3 linked regions of the Arabidopsis thaliana genome follow. The protein of the gene in region 3 interacts with the protein of the main gene of each other region in a pairwise test. Each region holds a gene or a part of one and is shown on either strand. Other genes may lie near its edges.

What was found. The genes of interacting proteins can lie anywhere in the genome.
Region 1: the proteins of VDAC3 (region 3) and GAPC1 interact in a two-hybrid assay, tested with the Arabidopsis thaliana proteins (one study listed by BioGRID).
Region 2: the proteins of VDAC3 (region 3) and GAPC2 interact in a two-hybrid assay, tested with the Arabidopsis thaliana proteins (one study listed by BioGRID).

Annotation. Positions count from the first base shown.
Region 1 is NC_003074.8:1,078,998-1,084,195, reverse strand, and holds GAPC1 (glyceraldehyde-3-phosphate dehydrogenase C subunit 1), read right to left. Parts: upstream 3,255-5,198; 5' UTR 3,120-3,254; coding exon 3,116-3,119; intron 3,011-3,115; coding exon 2,981-3,010; intron 2,892-2,980; coding exon 2,791-2,891; intron 2,428-2,790; coding exon 2,312-2,427; intron 2,218-2,311; coding exon 2,118-2,217; intron 2,008-2,117; coding exon 1,861-2,007; intron 1,766-1,860; coding exon 1,705-1,765; intron 1,612-1,704; coding exon 1,371-1,611; intron 1,282-1,370; coding exon 1,065-1,281; 3' UTR 506-1,064; downstream 1-505. Other genes in the region: AT3G04130 (Tetratricopeptide repeat (TPR)-like superfamily protein), read right to left, coding at 1-60; GLR1.1 (glutamate receptor 1.1), read right to left, coding at 3,960-4,274, 4,364-4,698, 4,788-5,100, 5,189-5,198.
Region 2 is NC_003070.9:4,607,572-4,612,908, forward strand, and holds GAPC2 (glyceraldehyde-3-phosphate dehydrogenase C2), read right to left. Parts: upstream 3,308-5,337; 5' UTR 2,924-3,307; coding exon 2,920-2,923; intron 2,827-2,919; coding exon 2,797-2,826; intron 2,706-2,796; coding exon 2,605-2,705; intron 2,405-2,604; coding exon 2,289-2,404; intron 2,198-2,288; coding exon 2,098-2,197; intron 2,012-2,097; coding exon 1,865-2,011; intron 1,765-1,864; coding exon 1,704-1,764; intron 1,619-1,703; coding exon 1,521-1,618; intron 1,435-1,520; coding exon 1,292-1,434; intron 1,204-1,291; coding exon 1,120-1,203; intron 1,027-1,119; coding exon 894-1,026; 3' UTR 506-893; downstream 1-505. Other genes in the region: ST4C (sulfotransferase 4C), read left to right, coding at 1-14. UniProt on the Arabidopsis thaliana protein: Key enzyme in glycolysis that catalyzes the first step of the pathway by converting D-glyceraldehyde 3-phosphate (G3P) into 3-phospho-D-glyceroyl phosphate. Essential for the maintenance of cellular ATP levels and carbohydrate metabolism. Binds DNA in vitro.
Region 3 is NC_003076.8:4,888,429-4,893,302, forward strand, and holds VDAC3 (voltage dependent anion channel 3), read right to left. Parts: upstream 3,176-4,874; 5' UTR 2,962-3,175; coding exon 2,913-2,961; intron 2,457-2,912; coding exon 2,389-2,456; intron 2,206-2,388; coding exon 2,095-2,205; intron 1,992-2,094; coding exon 1,905-1,991; intron 1,812-1,904; coding exon 1,603-1,811; intron 1,514-1,602; coding exon 1,213-1,513; 3' UTR 1,095-1,212; exon of another isoform or gene 865-1,094; intron 743-864; 3' UTR 536-742; downstream 1-535. Other genes in the region: AT5G15080 (Protein kinase superfamily protein), read left to right, coding at 1-127; PIN8 (Auxin efflux carrier family protein), read right to left, coding at 3,731-3,797, 3,899-3,975, 4,058-4,215, 4,302-4,387, 4,719-4,874. UniProt on the Arabidopsis thaliana protein: Forms a channel through the mitochondrial outer membrane that allows diffusion of small hydrophilic molecules. The channel adopts an open conformation at low or zero membrane potential and a closed conformation at potentials above 30-40 mV.

The sequences.
Region 1 (5,198 bases), on a different chromosome or scaffold from region 3:
CGAAGAAGGATTAAGGCGTAACAAGGTGTTTCCAATGCGATTTTGAATAAGCCAAGACATTAAATCTAAAACCCAGAACAGGGTTCTTCAACTGCAACCATAGGAAAATCAAATTTTTATCATCATCAATGAAATTTGAATCTTACTAGTGACATATGACGAAAATAAGTTAGACATGAAACTCAAAGATCGTACCTGAAAGATGGAGCAAAGGGAAATTGTGAAAATGACGACGGCCTCTTGCCGGAGAAATTTGAGGAGGACTAATCGCAAGAGAAGGGTTTACGGCCCAAAGTTGGGCTCTCTGGTTTTGGAAGCGTTTTACACCGTCTGGTTTGAAAAACCGGTTAGGCTTTGTGTTTGACCAACTGGGCTTTGGCATTGGGCCTTCTTGTGTCGTATATCAACGACCTCCCCATTTTTTCGATGCGGATGTGTACAAATAATTGAAGTGCCACTATACGTGAATTTGTGTAACATGGTTTAATAATTTGTTCAAAGTACCTTTACAGATGAACACATATTTCGTTGTCTTTATAAACCGCACATCTGTTAATGAATTTCTTATGTTTTGAGAAGAATCAATAACAAAAGGCAACATGAAATACTTTTCATTCAAACATCAGTCTACAAACTCGCATAAATGAGAATCGCAAACATAAAATATAGGTTCCACTTAGAAACTTTTATTCGAAAACTAGAAGAAGCTAGATTAATAAGTGTACACCTCTAGTTCCTTAGATTTGCTACGTCATCATCAACGGGAGCTCATTTAGTTTCATTTTTCGTTCAGATTTGATTTAGTATATAGTTAAAAAGAGAAGTGGAACAAAATTGAAAACCATAACGTTAACTCAATATATCAAAAGCCAAAAACAAAGGGCTTCCAGTAAAACATCGGTCTACAAACTCCCATCACCTCACATGAATGAGAATTAAGAAAACCAAAAAAAAAAAAAGTTCCAAGTTCAAAGAAATTTTATTCGAAAACGACAAATTCAGACCATAAAAGGGGATGAACAGATGACTTTCCACTCCCTATCATTCGAGATCTGCTTCTTAGCTTAGGCCTTTGACATGTGGACGATCAAGTCGACCACACGGGAACTGTAACCCCATTCGTTGTCGTACCATGACACCAATTTCACAAACTTGTCGCTCAATGCAATTCCAGCCTTGGCGTCAAAAATGCTCGACCTGTTGTCGCCAACGAAGTCAGTTGAGACAACATCATCCTCGGTGTATCCAAGGATTCCCTTGAGTTTGCCTTCGGATTCCTCCCTATGTATTGGTGGTAAAAACACTTGGTGAGTAATTTGATCACTACTGGAATATAAGTAAACTTAATCTGTCATTGCTCAAAAGCTTACTTGATAGCCTTTTTGATTTCATCGTAGGTAGCAGCTTTCTCGAGTCTGACAGTAAGGTCAACAACTGAGACATCAACGGTTGGGACACGGAAAGACATTCCAGTCAACTTTCCGTTAAGAGCTGGAAGCACCTTTCCGACAGCCTTGGCAGCTCCAGTGCTGCTGGGAATAATGTTGAATGAAGCAGCTCTTCCACCTCTCCAGTCCTTCATTGAAGGCCCATCAACAGTCTTCTGAGTAGCTGAAATCATAAAGCAAACCCCATTAAATCACAAATTTTCCACCTATAGGCAAGCAAGTTTGTAATAAACTTCTAACTGATTGATAAATTTACCAGTGATTGAGTGGACTGTAGTCATAAGACCCTCAACAATTCCAAATCTGTCATTGATAACCTACACAATGAAATCAAAGAACGTTAAATGAAATTAGTCACTTCAACTTGAAATACAAAGTCAAATTTGATCATATAGAATATCAGATATTTTACCTTGGCAAGGGGAGCAAGGCAGTTAGTGGTGCAGCTAGCGTTGGAGACAATGTCAAGGTCGGACTTGTATTCGTGCTCGTTGACACCAACAACAAACATTGGAGCGTCTTTGCTGGGGGCAGAGATAACAACCTTCTTGGCACCACCCTGAAAATACAACAAGTCACAAATTTAGTTGAATGATACTAAGCAAATTCTAGCACATAAACTATTTATATCATTACAAGACAAAAATAACCAATTCAAATAAGACAAACCTTCAAGTGAGCTGCAGCCTTGTCTTTGTCAGTGAAGACACCAGTAGACTCAACAACGTAGTCAGCTCCAGCCTCGGCCCATGGGATATCCTCAGGGTTCCTTCACAAATACCAAAAACTAATGAGATTGAAATTCACAACAGTTTGTAATATGTATACACGCAAAGAGACAGAGAACTGGTTGATAAATGTACCTGATGCCGAAAACAGTGACTGGCTTCTCACCGAAGAGAAGGGTCTTCTCATCCTTGATCTTGAGTTCATTGTGTTTCCATTGACCGTGAACACTGTCGTACTTGAACATGTAGGTCTGCAGCAATCAAACACAGAGCGCAATCAAAATCAACTCAACCATATCAACTCTAATCACAAACAGGCTAATCAATAACATTACAAACACAGCAAAACAAACAACAGCTCCACAAGTATACTGATCAGCTAAACAGTATGAACAATGAACACTAAACCAGTTTCCAGATCTGTGCACTAATTGAACAAATCATCTGACACTTAAATCCACATGCATAATCCATAAATGATATGATCCATCTATCAAATCTAACGAAAGCAAAGGTACCAGAGCGACTAACAGAATCTTATCGTCAAGAGATCAAAATAATATTGAAGCAAACCAAGATCGAATCACCGTCAAAACCAAGGAAGGAACACTAACCATGTACTCAGTAGTGATGAAGGGGTCGTTGACAGCGACGAGCTCAACATCGTCCCTCTGGAGAACAACTCTAGCAACCAAACGACCAATTCTTCCGAATCCTAACGATAACAGAAATCAACAGTCAGATTCTAGATCTAGATACATGAGAACATACAAACCCGAATTACAAAATCGATTCGAAACTCACCGTTGATTCCGATCCTAATCTTCTTGTCAGCTACATAAAACAACAAACAAAATCAGAAAAACGATCAGATCAGAAAACTCAACAACGTAAAATAGCAGCGACGGGACGAGAGATTAGTAAAAGCGAGAGACTAACCCATTGTAGAATCGAAAACGAGAGTTAGAGAGAGGTTGAAGATGAGATTGGCAGAGAGAGATTTTAGAGTGAGATAGGTGAGTGAGAAGGGTTCCGTGAAGAGGTTATTTAAAAGAGAGAAGAACGTGGAGGAGGGGTCGGAATGATCTAGTGGCTGAGAGTTTTTCTTGGCCAAAAAGTCAGATCTGATTCAATACTTTTCTTAACCTAAAAGACCAAATTGCCCTTAATCATTTTCCTTATTTACCGTTGTAGCTCTGTTATTTTGGCAAATGTCGTCATTCCTGAGGCGAGACATGGCAACTGCATCTCACGCGCTAATCTGGAATATTCTTTAAATATTTAAGACGGGTCGGGTAAGCATGAAACGCAGCGTATTTGGATATGCTTTTATGCGCCGACCAGTGTTTGACTGCCACGAGTTCACGAGCGGCCCATTTTAGTAGACGGGTTCCATTTTCTAGAACGTAACGCCCAAATAAAATTATATTTTAGAAAAGTATATATTTCAAGTTTTCAACTCTTTAGGAGACTTTCTTTAAAAGAAGATATTTGATAGGCGTATATGGACAAGAATTTGAAAATTTTGATTTGATAAGCAATATTCAAAAAAGCAAAAGTCCCTATCAAAAACTCGATTAGTTGATGTATTTAATTCAAAAAATACTTCGTGATGGGTGAATCACTTTAGTATTTACGTGAATTAAATTATTACATGTGAATTTAAACGGGAAAAAAAAACAAGTATTACATGTGAAATTTGTTTCGAAGTGTACTTTGTTGTTACTTATGAGTCCTGTCCCGTCAATTGCTATAGTAGAGCTTATGAACGATGGATCACTTTTTACTTATAGAAGCTTTGAAGTTTGGTGCATAGTCGTGATACCTCTTGACGCGTATGAAAGAGATGTAGGGCTAGTACGAGAACATGAGCAGCTCCCGCAATGATGAACAAACCGCGCAACTCACGGAAGGTGAATCGCTTAGATGCCTCATCATCGTCGTTGGTAGATGCAACTTCCTCGGTGTTGGAATGTACATTTAGTGAATCCAGTTTTTGAAACCATTTTTTCTCCATGTCTTTCAACATTCCCAATGATCTTAGCTTCGCGATTTCTCGCGATACTTTAGGAACCAAATCCGAACCTTTCTGGAACATCTGAGAGGTAAACATAAATTAGTACGTAACAAGAATAAGTAACCAAATAATGGAGAGAAAATGAGAGGTTTGAGGAGAAGGGTACATACAAAGCCAAAGCCATTGGTATTAGTCACTCTATCTGTCATTACGAAATCATTCGGATAATTTCCGATAAGGATACTGAGATAAGGTATTTCATTGATGACATGATTAAGAGTTCCATCTCGCAAAAGTTGTGCATAGGCCTCAACTGCATTAATGGATCCGAGCTTCGCAGTCATTGACGTCGTAGATCCCCCGAAAACCATCTGATGATTTAATTGCATGCGAGAAATGGTCTTGGTTGATGTCAAGTTTGCGCTGTAACTTGAAGTCAATATTAACACCACAAAAACCCAAACTATGACTAAGAATCTTGATGACATTTTCTGTAGCTTCTCTCCTGCCAAGAATGTGCGTAATTTGTTATAGATCAAAATATACAAAAGGATGGGATTTCATGAAGAGTAGTACTCTAACATAAACACTTACTGTGAGCAAATACAATGGTTGAGAAACCAAACCAGAGCATCATACTAAGTTGTTGTCCCCAAGAGCCCTGAAATTCCGGATTAACGGACCGTTCAACTAACCAAACAACAATCCCAGTTAAGACAAAGAAAGCTCCACTTGCTAGCCACAAGGATTTTTCGAAAGGATCAAAGAAGGTCCACATCCCTTGGCTTTTCTTTTTCACTGTCAAGATTCCAATACCAATGTCAGTGTACGGCAAAGTAAAATCAACATACAAAGATCTGTTGGAAGTGATGGTGATATCACCAACTGCTGCATCATACTTGTCTCTCTGTCAAAATTGCAAACACACATTATTAGAAACATACATAATCATTTTTGACTAGAAAAATGTTTTTAAACTGTTTGCATTTTCACACCTGAGTAGAA
Region 2 (5,337 bases), on a different chromosome or scaffold from region 3:
GTTTGAAATTCTAGAATTATGCGTGTGCTTTGTGAAGAACTGCAGAAAAAGTGTTCTTGAATGCGTTATTTAATAATAAAAGTTACATTGTCATATATATAACTTTGATGTATCATTACAACTGATGTGTGGTTTTTGTTCTCTTTGATGTTGCAATAAAAACCTTCTTTACTTCTATGTTCCTTTAATAACTAGCGTGTGATCTCATGAGTACCATTTCAATAGTGGCATGTTACTCTTCATTTACGACTAATAAAGTAATAAAATAATCGTATTATCACATGCAATAACATGTCACTATTGAAAATACGAGTTTCCTATTAACTTTAAAAGTTAGCATGCAAATAAAATTATAATATCAATCATTTTACAATGATGTCAACCAAAAAATTGGATCTTCGCAATTGCAAGGAAATACTAAATTCCAATTTTTGATCCTCCGTTTCAACAAACTTGGCTGATTCGTTAAAAAACAATGTGGCGATGCTTATCAACCAATAAATCCGTCTCAGTAACTTTTGCTTTCAATCGAAGATGATTGACCTAATGTGAGCTATATGACTAGGAAGAACCATTTTGGTGGAGAAGCTCAAGTACAAATAGACTATTAAAAATACGAGAAGAGGACGTTCAATGTTCCAGTTGCCAGTTGGGTTTGAGTTAGCACGAGAAAGTAATGAACTAAAAACTTAATTAACATAAAAAACCAAACCAATGGTTTCAGTAAATAAAGCAGGGAAACATTAAGAGAAAGCAAAAAGACAAAAGCTACAAACTCTCATGACTGCGCATGGAATCAGTGAAAAAACATAACAACTCGAGTTTTCTTTTCTCCTTTTTTTTATTCAGAACAGTACGAACTCAACCACACACAAACTCTCGCCGGTGTAAGCTTAGGCCTTTGACATGTGAACGATAAGGTCAACGACACGAGAACTGTAACCCCATTCGTTGTCGTACCATGACACCAACTTCACAAACTTGTCGCTCAATGCAATCCCAGCCTTGGCATCGAAAATGCTTGACCTATAAACACAAACCCAATATTTCAATTATTTGCTCTCGCCATTTATAAGATCAGAAAACTGTATATCACTCTACAGACAATATTTTTTATACCTGTTGTCACCAACAAAGTCGGTAGACACAACATCATCCTCAGTGTATCCCAAAATTCCCTTCATTTTGCCTTCAGATTCCTCCCTGAAAAGTTTTAACCAAAATCTTTTGTAAGTACCCAATAAATTCTAATATGATATGGTTAGGACTGAGGGTCCTTGATGGTTCTCACTTGATGGCCTTCTTGATTTCGTCGTATGTTGCAGCTTTCTCAAGTCTAACGGTGAGATCAACAACTGAGACATCAACGGTTGGAACACGGAAAGACATTCCGGTCAATTTTCCATTGAGGGATGGCAACACTTTCCCAACAGCCTATCAACAACCATGATACAAAAATCAGATTCAACATAATTTCTCAATCAAAATCAATTAAAACAAATAAGAGGCTGAAATGATACCTTGGCGGCACCAGTGCTGCTAGGAATAATGTTGAAGGAAGCAGCTCTTCCACCTCTCCAGTCCTTCATTGATGGACCATCAACTGTCTTCTGAGTAGCTGATCACCAAAACAACAGTTACTATTGAGTCAAATATACATATTTTCAAGAATCAACCCAATGAAACCAAATATAAATACGTACCAGTGATAGAGTGGACAGTGGTCATGAGTCCCTCAACAATGCCAAACCTGTCATTAATAACCTGCACAAATAGATTGCAACTGTAAGAGAAATGATTCAACTTAAAATTCAGAATTCAGAACAATTTACACAAGTTTATGGGTTGAAACAGAAAAAGATACCTTGGCAAGAGGAGCAAGGCAGTTAGTGGTGCAACTAGCGTTGGAAACAATGTCAAGGTCAGACTTGTACTCGTGCTCGTTGACACCAACAACGAACATGGGCGCATCTTTGCTTGGGGCAGAGATGACAACCTTTTTAGCACCACCCTGAATAACAATGAAACAATATGATGATGATATAGATCTTAAATAAACAAGTTCTCGACTATTATATAAAAGATCCAAGTTCAAACCTTCAAGTGAGCAGCAGCCTTGTCTTTGTCAGTGAAGACACCAGTAGACTCAACAACAAAGTCAGCTCCAGCCTCACCCCATGGGATGTCCTCAGGGTTCCTTCAAAAATAAAACACCACAAATCAGAATTTCACAACTCTCAATAACATAACAGAGAACCACTATAATAAAATCATCCATGATTATGTACCTGATGCCGAAAACAGTGACTGGCTTCTCACCGAAGAGAAGAGTTTTGTCATCCTTCACCTTAAGCTCATGGTGCTTCCACTGACCGTGAACACTGTCATACTTAAACATGTATGTCTGCAACAAATCGATACCATATACACAATCAGTCAAAACGAATTTACAGAGAATCAACATAGAAGAAGAATACAACAAAGCAAGTTCTCAGATCTATATGATAAACAGCACACACCATCATGTATATTAACAAAAATTCAGATAAAACTATTAACTCAAATCCAGATACGAACTAGTATCGAAGAGAAGAAGAAACGAACCATGTACTCGGTGGTGATGAAAGGATCGTTAACAGCGACGAGCTCAACATCATCCCTCTGAAGAACAACTCTAGCAACCAAACGACCGATTCTTCCGAAACCTTCACGAAGATTCAAAACTCAGCTTCTACAGATCCAAATCACTTAAACCTAACCAAAAAACTTATGGAATTCGATAAGAAAAACACTCACCGTTGATTCCGATTCTGATCTTCTTGTCAGCTACACAAACCAAAATTACGATCAGATTCAAAAAGTATCAACGAAAGAACAATAAATCGAAGAATCGCAGATCAACAAGAGCGAGAAGCTTACCCATTTTGCGAAATTGAGATCGAGAGAGATTTAGATGATATCGAGAGAGAAGAGAATGTGAAAATAGTGAGTGAGGGTTTGGGTTTGGTGAGGATTTAGGGTTATTTAAAAGAGAAGAAGAACGTGATGATGAAAATTGAAAATATGATCGAGTGGCTGAGATTTTTTCTTGGGAAAAAGGCTAATAGATTAGATTCACTAATTAATATTACTATATTGTACTTTACTTTCTTTCTTATTTACCATTTTTACCCATCGTTTATGGGTAGGATTAAGAACTGATTTGGGGAAACTAATGGCGCTTGGATTCACGCGCAGGCTGATGGAATATTCGAGGTTTAATACTCTAATCCTATGGGCTGGGCCGGTGCACGCAAGACTGCAACGTAGCAGATTTTGTATATATTCCTTTTGACAGCCAATGAGCTTTGCCAATAGCCAAATTTGTTTTTCTTTTTATTTAATTTTCATAAGATTTTGTATTATTGTTGTTGTCAAACCATAATTTTCCTTAATAAATCCAAAGTAACTGCAATAGTATGCTCATTTTTTAATTTTGCGTAACAAGTAACACCACTGTCTTCTATACATGTATCTTGTGATACCATTCATGGTAAATTCAATTATTATCGGATCAACTTTATCATCCAGTTCATTATAGTGAAAGTTACTCTCAAATGTCAATTCTCACTCAACATTCAGCAACATTACTCCAACCATTGTTTTAGAATAATCAAGGTGAAGATTTGACTTCATAAACACTATATTTAAAGGTGTTTTGTTTTAATCAATTTAGATGTGTAGATGCTTGTAGACGTCTTTATCGAATTACTGGTTGCTTACTGTTTCAAATATTTATAATTTGACACAAGTACATATGGTGTTGTATATTTATCTAATCGTGACTCTATACCAAGACACAATAGATGCTCCACTTTGAGAGCTTTGGTAGGTCAGATGGAATGTGACAGCAAAAAAAAACATCACACCTTATGTAATAGACTAATAGGTATGACTCTTGGCTTTTGCCAAAAGTCTTCTTCTTCTCCTCCTCTTATTTGCTCTCTTTTCTTTTTCCATTTCATTTTTGTTAGGTGAATGGTTATAAAACTCCTTCTTTTGGTATTCATATGGATCTTTATACATCCAATAAATAGCTAAAATATTATCTGAGGTCAACAATATATCATAAATTGAAGTTTGTGATCTTTCTATAACTCATGATCATTTCCAAGAGTCCACTTATAAGTTATAACTGACCCGTCAAGTGTCAGCCATTCTCTTCGACTGAATAAGTTCTATGATTTAAAAACGATTTTCTAATTCGTTTTTCTTTGTAAAATCAATTTACTTTGGTTTGTACTTTGTAGTAAAAAACCAAATTTATTTTTGCTGAAAACCATATTTGAGAATTTTATAACATAACGTACATGTATTTTTTTCATTATCTGAATTATTTGTAGTGATTTTGTGGAATTTTCATATGTTATTTCTGATCTTATCCCTTTTATTTTGAAGTGTCATTATTCACAATGTTCTAAAGTAATCGTGAAGTGAAAAGAACCACAATATATCATTATCAAAGTATATGTTAAAATTCGATTCTAAGAGAAAGAAAAAAAAAGATAGAAAGAAAGATGCAATAATTGATGCAAACCTTCTCGACAAAAACAATTATTGACGCAAAACTTTAACTATTGGAATCTTATCCTGATGATCTGCTTATAACCAATGTTATTCCACTTACGTGATATTTAAGATCTAGAAGTTGGTTTATTTATGCATAAACATTTCAATTAACTCAGTTTCATTTGTATGTTTGTGATGTTTATGCTGTCTTGATTCTGTCTTCCTCCTTTTCACGCTGTCTCAAAGGAGAAAAGTAATAAGGAGATCACGAGGGAGATTCAAGCTATAATGAGACAAGTTGCTTCCAGCATAACTTGCTTGCCTTGTCTCCATGAAACATGTAAGAGAGAGAGACATTAATCGGCTTGGCGGTTGGATAAGGTGTGTTTGTTGTGTTGGGAGCATTTACTGATACCGATGTGGCTGTACCGTTCACCTGGATCAAGAGAGTGGTTGAATTACATTCTTTGATACTAGTGTTTGTTAATCAAATCATTATAGTGTTTTCTCAGTAGTATAAGTTCAGAAAGTTTCTCTGGCTTTGCAGATTGACAAGGTCGAACACACTCATTTCATACAAGAACAATAAAAGGGATGAAGAATGACTCTGATACCACACACAAACACTCGCTCGTCTGATTGTGAACAATTTATTCACTTCTCTTATGTTCTGTTCTTACAAATGTAACAGACCAAAAATCTATTTTGAGGTCTTCTTGGTCTGTACGGTAAATGCCAGTTATGATATTTCATATTTGAGCAAGTACATGAAAAAAAGAAGAAATGTAT
Region 3 (4,874 bases):
ATCCCAAGGATTTGGATCAAGAAACGGGCAACACCAACCCGTGTTTCGAACACTGTCTAGTCCTCATGGTTCTTCGCCTTATCGACATCAGATTCCTTCGCCAAAGCCTAAAGGAGCAACTACATAGCTCTTACGTGGTGGAAATAGGCCACAAACGAACAGAGCTAGAAGGCTCAAGCTTTTATCGTCGTTTTTAAGCAACAAGGAGATATTTTTAAACAACGTTAGGGTAACTCTTTAATTGATTAATAATGTACGATGGAGAAGGGTAAATCCAAATGGAAAAAAAAAAAACTGATTTTGTCTTCCATTGCTGAAAGCATAGAAAAGTTATAAATTGAAAACATTTTTGATGCTCTTTATAAATTGAAAACACCAAGTATCTACCATTTTCAAACGCAAAAGCCAGTATCCCGGAAACAGAGGTATCGTGTTTGTTCATCTACTTCTGGTGGTCAGAATGATAGATTCAAAGTAGAGTACACTCCTTGGCTTATCGTTGGGTTGGGCAATCCAGGAAACAAGTATCATGGAACAAGACACAATCTTTTTCTTTTACTGATTTGCTGGATTTGATCTCGGCAATGCTACAACTTTGTGTTGTTTTCAGGTTGGTTTCGAGATGATCGATGTGTTGGCTCGAAAAGAAGGGGTTTTGATGAACACGATACAGTCCAAAGCTCTAATCGGAATAGGTTCTACTTCTCTTGCTTTTGGTTCTTTGGTTTGAAGAATAATAAAACTGATGACTTTTTGGTTCTATGTAAGAATCAGTACAGGTGCTATTGAAGGTGTACCTATCTTGTTGGCTAAACCTCAGATAAAAATCTGACCAACTAGACAAAATTAATTAGACATGTAAGAAGAACCTCATAGAAAAATCCACTAAGGGAACTCCAAATGGAACAAAGTATAGCAGAGGCAGAAAATAAAAGAGAGAACCAAGTAAAAGATATGGAACAGAGTATTGTAGCAGAGGCGGAAAATAAAAGAGAGAGAGCCAAGTAAAACGATCTTAATGGTTCTTTATCGTCAAAGACGATCCTTTCAATAGTATTTTTCTCTTTTATTTTCTACAAATCCCAACACCGAACAAAAAAAACAAATGAAAGATTGTTTAGCAAACCAGACAGCGATTTGTCCAAAGATTTGAAGACGAAAAAGAAATAACACCTATTCTACCCACTTCAGGGCCCATTTGGTGGTATCTTCTCAGGGCTTGAGAGCGAGAGCAATCCCAACCTTGGCACTCTTATCGATCGCCTTAGAATCAACCTCTCCAGAAACGGTGAAGAACGACTTTGGACGCCACTCATGTTGGATCAGAGCGTTAGCCACACCAGCATTGTTCACTCTTGCCTTCACTGTGGTCAATGGGTCAAGCGCGTGTTGAGTTCCGACAGTGATGGCGTTCTCTTTGGTCGTGAAGTTGTGGCTAATCTCAGCTCCAACCACAGTCGACGGGCTCACAATCTGGTAGTAGGATGCATTCAATTTCTCACCTTTGTCATTCCTGAAAAAAAACAGTTTAAGAAACAACTCTTTTAAAACCAGCAGCATTAAAATCTCAAGTCATCATTTCATATGGAGGGAGGCACTTACAGAATGAGGGAAGCAGTCAAATCATCCTTGGTGAAGTTGAAACCAGCATTGAAATGTTTGAAGTTGCCAGATTCGGTGTTATAGGCCACATCAGTACCAAGAGACAAACCATTGGTTCCAACCACACCGGAGAAGTTGACAATCGGGGTAGCTGTGAATCCAACGCTGGTAGAGATACCAGCATAGTCATGGAAATACTGAACCTCAGCCTGCTCAGAAAACAACAAATAATGGTTATCTCCAACATACCAACCTTTAAAAAAACGGAACAGAAAGAAAAGAAAGCTGGTGGAGTTATATACCTTTCCAGATTTGTGATCGGGCAACTTAGCCTGAACAATAACTTTCAGTCCAGGGGCAGGCTCATCAAAGGTAAGAGTGGTCAAAAGCTGAAATTATTCACACACAAAAAAAAATCAATTGAATACTCCAGCAGCAATCGGCAACATCATATATCTACTAGAAACAGCTAAAGCTAAAAAGTCTACTTACAGAAGAATCAGTGGAAACTTTGACATCAGCAGTGAAGTTGTTGTTCTTCACTTGGGTAGCAACATCACCCAAAAACAAGCTTCCTTTGTTTGTTCCCGTTGTAGTGATCGCCTACAAATTTATCACCATTCGACACAAGAAAGAGTCAAGTGAGAGTACACATGAAAACAAACTGTACAACCAAATTTGACATAACAGAAAACTAGACAAATCTCAATTTTATCACTAACAATAAACCCATCGCACCAACAAAATAGAGAATTGACAGAAATAAAAACAATAATAAAAACTTACAACACCAGTTGAAGAGTAAGTGGTGACACTGAATTTCTGGTCTCCTTGGTAATCCCTGTACAGAAGATCTACAATAGCATTCAAAAACCTTCAGATTCAACTCAAATAGAAAAGTTCAACACGAGACAACTACTCTGTATCCTTGATAGACATTTTCCAGATCCAAGATAAAAAATTTCAAAACCAGCTAATCAACGAGTGACCCAAAAATTGAAACCCAGAGAACCAGTCTTGTTATTCTATCTATACAGATAAACGAAACGGATAGCATAAATCTGACGGAAACGAACACAGATATTATCAATCAGCTCACAAAACACGAATATTTAACTTTTTATGCATCTATTCAAATTTCAACGACCTAAGCGTGACCGATAGAAATCGGAATAAAACCAGGAATGAGAAACCCTAACCGATTCAATGAATATCAACCTAAACCCAGATCAGAAAAGAGCTCAAATGTTTACGAAATGTCAACAACAGTCACATTCGCGTCACCATAGAGAAAGAGAGAGAGATCGTACCTCTGGCCTTTTTGCCGATTTCAGTGTAGAGTCCTGGACCTTTAACCATGATTGCCTCTGGAAAAATCGAAGAAGCTTTGAAAGATTCCGAAGTCGAGAAGAAGAGTAATGGAGGATTCTGGAGAAAATGAGGTGTGGTGTTTGTGTATATAAGGGGAAGAAGAAAGGGTAACCCTAAATTAATTTATATTATAATATTGTATTTCCCTGCTTATCAAGTAAAAATATCTCAGCCGTTAGATTAATATGACATGAGTCGGTGTCCCTCTTTATCAACCGTTGATTATATATTCCCCTCTCTCCAAGGCATTTTTTTTATGTTTTTTATTTGATTTTCGTATTCTTATTTTATTTTTTTATGGCTTTTTTCCATTTTTCATTGCGTGGCAAGCAAAGCAGGCCGTGTACTCTCTAGTTTTCTTCATCCCCAAAATTTATTTATTTTTATATAATTTTTTTTTTGTTGTTGAGTCTTTGACAATGTCTATTTATTTTCTTAGAGTTAACCATCTGAATTGTTCTTATTAATGTGATATTTAAATTTTCTTAAATGGTGTTCTTTTATATTTACTCCTATATAGTATCTATTATCCTATTTTTTAAAAAGAATAAGTCAAAATTTTGATTTTACTAGTTGACATGTTTTTTTCTAATTTAATATCAGGAGAAAAATGATTTACAATAATTAAAGAGAATGGTTGACATTATTAGCTTTATAATTTCAACATCTAAAAAACTATGACTAAATTAAATACCATATAAAATCCAAAATTAAGAGCCTACGTATAAAACATGTTTTTTTTTTGAACATGTCATATTCATAGGTCCAATAGAAAATAATATGCCAAAGTTGTTGGTAAGGCAATTAGCATTCCAAATATCACCCTGAAAAAGCAAAACAATAAAAACCACAAAAATAAATTTCAAAAAAATTGTAATAAGAAGAAGGAAAAAAAAAAATCAAATCAAGAAATATATTTATTTACCCAGTACTAATGATCTCCGGGTGAAGATTATACTCTTTTGCAAAAACAAATGGCACTACTCCTTGAGGCAATGCTGCCTACAACACAATAAATCAATCGACAAAAACATATATATGACAGATTTTATTATTAACGGATTATTAATTTTAATATTTTCACCTGTAATATTGCTACTTTGAAGAGAGTACTTTTTAATCTGATGCAATACGCAGAAGCAATCATAAGAGCAGGTCCTAATACGAACTTGAGCAGCATTGTTATAATCGCCATTTTTGTACCACATGCTATGATACTACTTTGTGATGCCATGAACAGACCTGTTTCATTTTTTGTTAAATTAAATTTAATTTCCAATCATGAAAGTTTAGTTTTTTTTTTTTTTTTGTATAGATATATAGCTTACCTAAGCTGAACATGGCCATTCCTAAGCCTCCATCAGATAATAAATGTATTGATTTATCAATCATCTCAGGCAAATTCCATCCCAATCTATTGGAGAAAATAAATAAAAACATGAGTAACATTTGATACAAACTATTAAAAAAAGAAGCTAATCTTAATAGTTGGGAATATCACTTGACTATCACTTTTCGATTTTAAAATATTAAAAAAAATGAATTTGTAGATGCGAAAAATGATCAAACAGAAAGCTTAAAATAGGGGAAACTCACTACTAAATTATCGCTTTTCTTTTTGAAAAAGAGAAAAGGAAGTGTTTGAATATGTAAGATGATAAAGATTGAATCTTTAGATGTGTAAGATGATTTATCACAAAAGATATGATTGCAGTGTTAAATATAAGAGAGTTTTGTTTTCACACCTGAAATGTAAAGTAGCCCAAATGATTCCGATCAATGTTGCGTATGTATTTGGATTGATTATAAGCTTTCTCCAAGCCTTCAATAGAATCTTCATAGTTCCAACAGATCTTGTTCTCACTATTGCTACTTCTTCTTCGTCCTCTTCTTCTTTTGGC